Sus scrofa: one gene and its partners. The protein of the gene in region 2 binds, or shares a complex with, the protein of the main gene of each other region. Links are inferred from orthologs where the notes say so. Each region holds a gene or a part of one and is shown on either strand. Other genes may lie near its edges.

Region 1 (3,727 bases), on a different chromosome or scaffold from region 2:
AAGGCAGAGGGGCAGAGAACCTGGTAGCTGTGCCAGTGAGGGATGTGGCATTGTTGCTGTCACAGCCTCAGGCTTAAGAGGCACCAGGGTCCTTGTGAGATGGTTAACCAGGAGCCTCCAAAAGAGGTCACTCCTGGCCCAACCACAGGCTGGCTGGCTGGTTTTTGTATGCGCTTTATTGAAGCAGAATCCATCAACCCTTCAAATGACCCATCTAGAATGGGCGACTCTGGGGTTTTCTGGATGTTCACAGGGTTGTGCAGCCCTGGGCAACCTCCAGTCTGCTTCCTGTCAGTAGGTCTGCTTGCTCAGGACACTCAATATAAATAGAGTCATATAATGTATGATTTGGGGGCTGGCTTCTTAGCATAAATGTTTTCAAGGTTTGTCCATGTGGAGCCTGTATCAGAACTTCATTCCTTTTCATGGCTGAGTAATAGTCCATCATATAGTCAGGCCATGTTTTATTTACCTGGTTATCAGATGATGGGCACTTGGGTGGTTTCAACTTTTAGGCTGTAAATGATAGTGCTGCTGTGAACATTCATGCACAGGTTTTTGTTTGAACAGCTATTTTCAGTTCTCCTGGGCAGGTACCTAGGGGTGGAATTCCTGGGTCGTGTGGTCACGCTCTTTAGCATTTGGAGGAACTGCCCAACTGTTGTTCTCAAAGCAGCAGCACTGTTTTACATGCCCAGCCCCTGAGTGAGGGTTCCTGTTTCTCCACATCCTCGCTCACCTTTCTGACTTTTAGATCCTGGCCACCCTCGTGGGAGTGACATGGCGTGTCAGTGTGGTGTGGATCTGCATTTCCCTGACGGCTAATGATGTCGAGCATCTCATAATGGGCCGTTAACCATCTATGTATCTTCTTTGGAAAATAAGGCTATTCCAGTCCTTTGGTTTTTAGTTGGGCTCTAAGTTTGTTTATTATTGAGTTGTGGGAATTCATTATATATCCTCAATGCAAGTTCCATATCACATACTTGATTTGCAAATATCTTCTCCCATTTCATGGGTTGTTTATCACTTTCATGACTCTATCCTTTGAAGCACAAGTTTTTGGTTTTGATGATACTCAGTTTAATCATGTATTCTTCCATTGCTTGTGTTGCCTGGTCCAGGGTCTCACCCTAGCACCCTTTGCTGGAAAGACGGCCCTTCCCCCATTGAGTGGGCTTAGCTCCTTATCCAAAGTCAGTTTGCCATAAACAGGAGGGTGGTGTCGAGTCTTGTCACCTCCTAACTGGCCGCAGAGCTTGGGCAAGAGGCCCCTGCAGTCTCGTTCTCACCTATGAAGTAGGCACGGTGAACAGGCTCTTCAGCTGGTCCATCGCACCTCATGAGGTCATAAAAGTAAGATCACATTGAAGATGACCTCCCCGTTCTCTCCCAGCCACAGCCTCCCTGCTTGGACACCTTGGCTGGTAGGAATATCGGGGTCCCAGGTGCCTCGAGGCCCGGGGAGCAGAACCCCCTTGTAGGCTGGGCGGCTCTCTGCCCATGTGTCCCCCCATACCCATGGGGCCTGCTGGCTCAGGCCCGTCCTCTCATGCCTGGTCTGAACAGTTCTTACTTTAGAACAGACCCACTGGGGTGGAATACACTGGGGAAGTAAACACAGGGGCCTCCAGGCCCTTGTTTAAATTAAGAAGAAAACATATTTTGTTCCCCTCGGCGTGGCCTTGGCAACTTTCATGTCTGCTCTTCCTCGGAAGGCAGCTGGGAGCCCCGGAGGTGAGGAATGATGTTTGAGTCTGTGGCTGGGTGGTTTCTTGATCGCCAAACTGCTGCCTGGCTGGGGAACAGCTGTCAGGAGCTGCAGAGTAGGGCGGCCTGGCCCCTGGCCTCTGAGTTACAGCACAGGTTTGAGCCCTGGGCATTGTGGGCATGGACCCAACAGGCCACACTGTGGCAGCAAGAGGTGAGCCCTGCTCTGCGGGGGCAGGACAGCTCCGAGCTGTGTCCCAAGCACTCGAGGTCCCCAGGACCCCAGGCAGACTCTCCTCCAACCGTGGACACAGGAAGGCTGTGAGTGGGCCCCTGGCCCCAACATACACAGTGGGTATACATGGGATGTTTAGTAATCACAATCTTGTGAAATCCCTCACAGCAAGGACATCGTCCCCATTTTCCAGATGAGGTGTCAAAACCAAGGCCAAGGGCCATCATTCACTGCCCCCTCTCCCCCGCCACCGAGTTGACTCTGCAGGGCTCTGGGTGGGCCAACTCCTGATGGGCCTTCAAGGGGCCAAGCTACGGGGCACAGGCCAGGGTGGGAGAGGTCCAGGCTTGGGCAGCGCTGCAGGAGGGGGTGAGCCGGGGGGTTGGCTCTCTTGGCCCGTGATCTCTGGACCTCTTCACTTTTCACCACCCTGGGGTTCCGATCAGGGCGGCAGCTCAGCCAGGTGCCCTCCAGGCCTTTGTAGTGCCCCACCCCCAGCTAAATCCACTCACCAGAGGGTGTGCAGTGGCCTTTGGGTGGAGTCGGGGGACAGTTGCTAAGGGACCTAGGATGCAGTGGTCAGAGGTCATGGGTTTGGGCCCCTGTGAAGCAGGCTGAGGAGCTGGCCTCAGTGAGCAGCATCCAACCCCCCTGCAGACTCTGCTTTCCTCTTTCTCCTGGACACTGAGCGGGTAGGCCCCCCTCCTGCTCCCCACAGGTCCAGTGGTAATGGCTGGCCCTGCCACACTGTTCTGTGGACCCTGCCCTAGTCTTTGGCCTGGAGATACTATGGTGGCAGCAGAGTGCCTGCCGAGAGCCACTTCAAGGAGAAATCCACTGGGTGGTGGGCCAGCGGTATTGGTGCTGCGGAGGGAAGGGAAGGGCCAAGTGGCCCCAGTGGCTCTGCCCTGAGGTTCTGGTCCATGTGCTGGTGGGCGGGGGTGGATGGTGGTTTCTGGGGCCTCTCTGGCCGCTGCTCCATGATCTGCCTCCTTCCCACCTTCCACAGTGAGAACCCCCTGCCCACGGTGGAGATTGCCATCCGGAACACAGGCGATGCTGACCAGTGGTGCCCGCTGCTGGAGACCCTGACAGATGCCGAGATGGAAAAGAAGATCCGCGACCAGGACAGGAACACAAGGTGCCCCCCCAGCCCTCTTCCCAGGCAGCGCAGGACCATTGCCTTTCCTGAGACCTGGCAGGCCCCTGGGTGATGAGTCCCGATCTAGCCCTTCAGGGAATGAGTGAGCCCTCAGATGGGGCCTGACCTCATCCCAGACTGGGTTCCAGGACCCCTGGAGAGGTGGACAGGGCAGGGGGCAGCTTCAGGCCCCAAGCATCAGACAGGCCCAGGCAAGGGCAGGGGCTGGGCTCCCACCTGCCATGTCCTGTCTCCACCCCCCACCCCGGCTCCCCATGGGGTCGTGGGGACAGCATCTGCCCCAGGTCACTCTCTCTCCCCTCCGCAGGCGGATGAGGCGTCTGGCCAATACTGCTCCGGCCTGGTAACCACCCGGTGGTGCATGGCTCCCACGGAGCATGTGAAGATTGGACCGCCCACCTCTCCTGTCTTCTGGGAGGAGGGCATGAGGAGAGGCAGCCCGGCTGCCTGAGGAGCATGGGGTAGGGGCCTCTCAGTCGCCCCCCACCCACCCCCGGGTACACATTCCGTTTGCTGAGCCCCAGTCCCCGCTGCCCGTCTCTGGTCAGGAAGAGGCCTTGTTTTGGGTTGTGTTTTGTTTTTGTATAGGAACCCCAGGCAGGGCAAGCAACACTTTTTAA
Region 2 (2,704 bases):
GTCCCTGAGCCCCGCAGAGGACCCCAAGACACGCAGCTCTAAAATGGAAGGGCTCAGGGGCCCGGATGTCAGGGGTCTCCCTGGGAAACCTCAGTGCCTACCCAAGTTGGGAGAGAAGTTCTCAGCTGCTGGGGCGCACTGTGCCTCTGTCCCCTCCCCACTCTTCTCACTGCCTATAACGCCCTGGGAAAAGACAGCGGTCGGTCGGCTCACCTGAGCTGTCGGTCCTGGGGTGCTTAGGTGCAGCCTCTCCTGAGGCCCGAAGCCCGGCCCACCCCAAGCCCCACCCCTCGCGCAGGCCCCGCCCCTGGGCCGGGCCCTCGGTTCCGTCCCGCCCCTGACGCCGCATCCCCTTCGCCAACTCCCATTTCCAGCCCCGACTCTTGCTCCTCGCTGGGGATTTCATTGAGGGGCTCTACCCGGTTCTCGCTGCGCGATCCTCCCTGGATTGCGGCCCCTTTGAAACCTGAGGCGTTCGTGGCTCCTGCCGCACTGCCCCCGCCCTCAGACCTTGCCCTGGCGTCCACCGTGCGATGCCACACCGCGGATTTAGGTGTGGCCCTCCCCTCTTCTCCCTCCAGAACCCTGACCCCACTGCCCACCCCTAAAGAGGCCAAACTTCCTTTTTCTTAAAACGTTTTTACTCCGTTCGACAACGCAATCTAAGAGGACGAGCGGGAAGGGGAAGAAAAGGGGGCGGTGGGAGCGTTGGGAGCTTGCGGTGCCGAGGCGGGGAGGCGGGGGGGGGGGCGGGAAGAACGGGGGCGGGGGTTAACCCTCTCCTTCCTTTCGCGTCCCCTCCCCCACTGCTGCAGGCAGGCCTGTGGGTGAGGAGGGGGCGCCCTCAGGGGCACTTCCGCTCCACGCACTGCTTCCCGCCCTCCTCATATTCCTGCTTGGAGATCCACATTTGCTGGAAAGTGCCCTGGGTCGGGGGACGACACTGGCGGTCAGGGAGGCCCTGAAGGAAGAGAGAAGCGCCTCCCCACACTCCACGCGTGCAGGCTCGACGCCCCGGAACCCTCCTCCGGGCCTCCCTGCCTCTCAATCCCACATCCCTCCCGCGACCACCAGCCTGCCCCATCTTCCAGTCCACCCCTTCGTAGTCAGAGGGCGAACACCCGCTGCCTGTCGTTCAATCCAGGATTCATTCATTCAACAAGCATCTACTGAGCACCTGTTCAATAGCTGTTTCCCAGCTGGGAGGTGGTGCTTACAGACCCTGGCCAGTGGCCAACGCTCCATACCTCTTCTTCTCCAGGTACCCTATAGGGCCTAACAAACATGTCAAGTCTCCCTACTTCCCAAGAAAATCTTCTCTCCACGCGCCTCACCAATGGACATCACCTAACATCAGGATGGGGCTGTCTTTACTCCCAAGTGGCCCCCGCCCCCCTTGAAACCTGCTCCTTGAGAGTCTCTGGTCCTGGGCATTTCAGGCTGTACCCACTCTTTCATGGTTTCTCTGCCTCTGCCTGCAAGTGTGTGTGTGTGTGTGTGTGTGTGTGTGTGTGTGTGTGTGTGTGTGTGTGTGTGGCTCTGCTTCTGTCCTGGGCATTTCAGGCTGTACCCACTCTTTCATGGTTTCTCTGCCTCTGCCTGCAAGTGTGTGTGTGTGTGTGTGTGTGTGTGTGTGTGTGTGTGTGTGTGTGTGTGTGTGTGTGTGTGTGTGTGTGGCTCTGCTTCTGTCCTGGGCATTTCAGGCTGTACCCACTCTTTCATGGTTTCTCTGCCTCTGCCTGCAAGTGTGTGTGTGTGTGTGTGTGTGTGTGTGTGTGTGTGTGTGTGTGTGTGTGGCTCTGCTTCTGTCCTGTGGCTCAAAGAACACGCCTTCCTGGACCATGTCATCTGCTAGGGTTTGCTCCTGCTCCTGTGCCAAAGCTCCACCCTTCCCACCATCTCTGGTTCCCAGTTTGGATCTCCATGCTGAGCTCCAGACCCTAATACTCAGATGTCTTTTGGACACCTCCTCCTTAGTGTCCCAAGGGACCTCACCCTGGACATGTCCACAGCTGCATTCACCATCTTCACCCACGCCTGCCCCAAACCTGCTTCTTTGACCTTTCTCACCTTCCACAGTTGCCCTGTCCAAACCCAGGGGTCCCTTGCCACACTGAACACTTGAAATTGAGCTACCGAGCACTCGAAGTGTGGCTAGTCCTGTCAAATACGCACCAGATATGGAAGACTAAGTCCAGAAAAAAGAATGTAAGGCACCTCCATTTTTATATTGATGATATTTAAATTATATTTTTGATGTATTGGATTCAATACTATATATATATATATATATATATATTTGGGGGGGGCATGCCTGTGGCATGCAGAAGTTCTCAGGCCAGGGGTTGAACCTGCACCATAGCCCTGACCCAAGCCACAGCAGTGACGATACCAGATCCTTAATCCACTGAGCCAGTAGGAGAACTCCAAATACAATATATATATATATATACTTTTTCTTTTTAGAGCAGCTCCTGCAGCATATGTAAGTTCCCAGGCTAGGGGTCAAACTGGAGCTGCAGCTGCCAGCCTACACTACAGCCATAGCAATGAGATCCGAGCCACATGTGTGACCTATGCAGCAGCTTGTGGCATACTATCCTCATGGGTACTAGTCAGAGTCTTTTATTTTTTTTATTTAATAATGAACTAGTCAGAGTCTTAACCTGCTGAGCCACAATGAGAGCTCCCCAAATATGATATA
Region 3 (3,600 bases), on a different chromosome or scaffold from region 2:
AGAACTTTAAAAGCCGTCCAAGGCACAGAAGGCTGGGCTGGTAGGGGTATTGTTTATACCTCCTTATCCCCAGGGAAAGGGGTCAAGATGCAAAAAGGAGCAGCTAATTATAAATGACCACTCAACTCCCACCTAGAAAAAGCAGGCTGGATGTCAAGGGTATGCTAAGATGTAGGTGTGTGTGACGACACAAAATTACAAATACATGGCATTGCAACTGTTTCTAATTATACAAAGTACAAGTGTAATAATTCAGAACTAATTCCAATAACCAGCCTGCTTCTCTCTCCCTTCCCCCACTTCTAACCCCACCCTATACAGATACCCTCCCCAAACATGTAGTCTTCTGCTGTCCAAAAACAAAAAACAAAAAACCGGAGCCGGTAGTAAAGAGCTAAAGAGCGTAGAGATATTGCCCCCGCCAGCGTATAAACGGGCCCAGGGGTAACTAGGGTACTGCTTTCCCAAAAGGAAACAAACCTGGCACACATGTGAAATAGATCCTCTAACTTGAGTTTACCAGGTGGCATCAGCTCGGCTACGCGATTTGGGCTGGAAATGTGAAAACTGCAAATCAGCTGTGGGTTCGGTAAAAACTCACAGCATCAGCGGTGTAGCAGCGCGAGGGACCGGGAGAGAGGATGCGGTGAAGTTACGCCCATTTATTCTGCCATAAAACATTTTCTATCTTGGGTGAAACGCTGTAGCGTTCAAGTGTAGTGTATCAGAGCTTCCAAGCGAGAACTGAAGCCGAGAGCTGCTCTCTAATCAGCCTCAGCTCCCAATGTCCTCTTAGGGTTAATACATATTTATACATTTAAAACTCCAAGATCTGGGACATTCCTAACCTTTTCTCCTACTACCGATAGGAGATAAGCTGGTGCAAACACGTCCCATTCTCCCCGCGAGTTCCTTCGTGTTAAGAACTCCCCTGCCGCCCCCCTCCCCCAGTGCGAACGTGGCTTTCAACTCCAAGAGGAGCCTCGGGTGCGAACGTGGATGCGCTGAGTTGAAAGAACCTAGGTGGGCATCCTCCAGGCACTGGCGAGAGAATTCGCCATGAAATGCCCTCCCCCGCACCTCCCCCTCCCCTTGCCCGCGGCTTCCAGCCTAGCTGCGAAGTCATAATCCCAGGGGTGCAAGCCCCCACCCACGTCGCGCTGCGATCCGGAGGGAGTGCCCCTCTGCCAACATTACTGCCAAGAGCACCCCTTTTAGAGCGACGCTAGTTTTCCGAAGCCACCCCCGGCTCCGCGATCGCTAGCGGACTTGGCGGCTTAACAGTTCCACGGATTGGAAGGAAGGAAGGAAGCCAGGATAAAAAGGAGGGGGAAGGAAGGCGGGCAGGAATTGGCTGTCGGACCTGGGGACTGGCCCCCGCGTGTCCTCGCCCAGCCCGCCCCCCCTCCGTCCCGGATCTGGGCGTCCGTTCAAAGTCTCCCGGCTGTGGCCAGAGGCACCTGCCCCTAGCTCTGGCCGAGAGCAGACGCTACCCGCTCGGGCGGGGAGCCCCAGGCTGCCTCTCGCCAGCCTCGACTATTCACCCAGAGGAGGCAAGAACACCATTCATAAGACCTGCAGCTTCCCAGTCTCCAAATCAACCCCAAGTTAACCCGAGTCGTTAATTTATTACAGGCAGTTCCCCACAAACAACACCCGGAGACACACCGGCGACCGCCCGAAGCGCAGTCAAGCTCTGGGGGCTGCCCCGTCAGGAAAGCCCCGGGCAACCACCTGGGCCCCAGGGCTCCCGGGACCCGGTGCTCCCCCTGCGGTCCTCCCAACTCCGGAAGGTTTGCACAAACTCCCCGCAAGCGATCAGAAGGCGGAGAGCGCCCTGAAAACTCCGGAGCTGCAGCGGTCCGCTCACCCCCGCCGACCTAGCATCGGGGCGGGGGCTGCGGGCTCCAGAAGCACCGGGCTCAGCCAAGTGCACCCAGGCGGCCCCAGCCTGGCTCTCGCCCCCAGCTGAGCCGCCCCCCGCGCCGCGCTCACCGCCCGGAGAAGCTGGGCACTCTGGGGACCGTGCTGTCCCTGAGCTGCCCAGGATCCCCTCGCTGTAGAGCACTCGAGCGCCTGGCTCCCCTGCCAGTAACCCCTCTCCCTCAGTCCGCCAATTTAGAAGAACACAAATGTACCAATTTTCCTCTTCTTAATTGCCTCTCCTGACATTTCTGCGCGCCCGGGTTAAAAAAAAAAAAAAAATGAAGAAGTAAGAGCTGAAAGAAAAGAGAGAAGCCCCACCGCGGCTGTAGGCGCCTGCAAGCGCAGTGCATTGGCAGCGCTCGGCACGCAGAAGGCGCCTTTTTTTTCATATTGAAACCACGAGGAAAATGTACATTTTTTAGTCTTACTTACGCTTTCAGGGGGTTGTGAATGACAGTCGCCATTTTGCTACAATGTAACAGAATATTGTCTGTCTCAGAGTTCTAAAGGTTCGCTCAGGGGAAGCGGCGAGCCAATCAGAGCACGGGATACCGGCCCGCTGGCCAATCGGCGCGGCTGGTCGCCAGGTGGGCGGGGCCTGCACGGTGGTAGTTATTAGGGGAGCTGTCAAAGCCCAGAGGTCACTCCCTTTTGTAGAGCCCGAGAGCAAGCAGGTCTTAAAGGGGCAGTACCGCGCGTAGAGCTCCTTTTCGGATGAGGGAAAGTGGAGACGCACGAGAGTATTCTAGTTTGGTTTGAATCCTTACTTTCTAAACAACTGCAGAGAGTTGCGCTCCTGGACAGAAATATTTAAGTCCTGGACAGAAAATATTTAAGTATTGCAAGCAAACCGTTGAACCCTATTCATTAGCTTTTGGCTTTACTGTTACGTTTTTAATCCCCCAAAGGACAATTCCCCTCGTTCCAGTGCAAAAATTGGAAGGGTGCCGTTTCGTCTAATTACTACACGTGTCCTGCCGCTTACTAATGCTCTGGGTCCTGCGGCTTTTTAATATTCTCATTCCTGAAGTGTTGTCTTTATCTCGGCCACCTTCCTCTGATTTCTTGGAACTGGTGCCGCCGTTCCTGGCGACTCCAGGACAGCAACTCCCCTCCCCCTGGAATGTCTCAATGTCAGGCTCGTTCCCTCCAGCAGCCAGGCTTTCCTTACTTAATACGCGGTGGTCACTCAGGCAATTGCCCACTGCCACCTCCTCTGTCCTCGCACAAACCAGAAACTTCGGAAATTAAATGGTCAGAGAGCTGGAGAGCCAACTGGGGCCTGGCGCTCTGACCTTTAGGCTTAGGGGAGGGGTGGTTTAAGAGAACTTTTGCAAACGCTTTCTGCTCTTCGGAAAGAGTAACGAGACAAAGTTGTGGAACCTAGATGGGTGTTGCCAGAGTCCCTTTCGGGGAGTAGCATACGCGATTCCGGCGTCACCTTTCATTGATTAGATAAAAAGGTGAAAAGAATTTGCTAATGAATAATCAGATGTGACCTGAGGCGTTCAGAGAATGTGTCTGCTTCAAGTCCGTGCGAACTCCTCACTGGCGAAGCCCTGACAAAACTGAGAGACTTCTGTGAAGCCAGGCTTCCACTGAGGAGCCAGGCAGCTCAGGGTGGATGAAATCGCACTAAATCATGAATAGGGGCCTCGTTAGCATACAGAAATC

Evidence for each region.
Region 1: ACTL6B (region 2) and SMARCB1 share a complex: the UniProt entries of both Homo sapiens proteins name them as parts of the BAF complex. The link is inferred for Sus scrofa from reciprocal best matches to the Homo sapiens genes ACTL6B and SMARCB1.
Region 3: ACTL6B (region 2) and DPF3 share a complex: the UniProt entries of both Homo sapiens proteins name them as parts of the BAF complex. The link is inferred for Sus scrofa from reciprocal best matches to the Homo sapiens genes ACTL6B and DPF3.

Annotation. Positions count from the first base shown.
Region 1 is NC_010456.5:49,875,016-49,878,742, reverse strand, and holds part of SMARCB1 (SWI/SNF-related matrix-associated actin-dependent regulator of chromatin subfamily B member 1), read left to right. Parts: intron 1-754; exon of another isoform or gene 755-2,954; coding exon 2,955-3,086; intron 3,087-3,414; coding exon 3,415-3,454; 3' UTR 3,455-3,727.
Region 2 is NC_010445.4:8,553,699-8,556,402, forward strand, and holds the end of ACTL6B (actin-like protein 6B), read right to left. Parts: intron 962-2,704; coding exon 845-961; 3' UTR 624-844; downstream 1-623. UniProt on the Homo sapiens protein: Involved in transcriptional activation and repression of select genes by chromatin remodeling (alteration of DNA-nucleosome topology).
Region 3 is NC_010449.5:96,251,901-96,255,500, forward strand, and holds the start of DPF3 (zinc finger protein DPF3), read right to left. Parts: upstream 2,455-3,600; 5' UTR 2,391-2,454; coding exon 2,359-2,390; intron 2,206-2,358; exon of another isoform or gene 1,636-2,205; intron 1,024-1,635; exon of another isoform or gene 938-1,023; intron 1-937. UniProt on the Homo sapiens protein: Belongs to the neuron-specific chromatin remodeling complex (nBAF complex).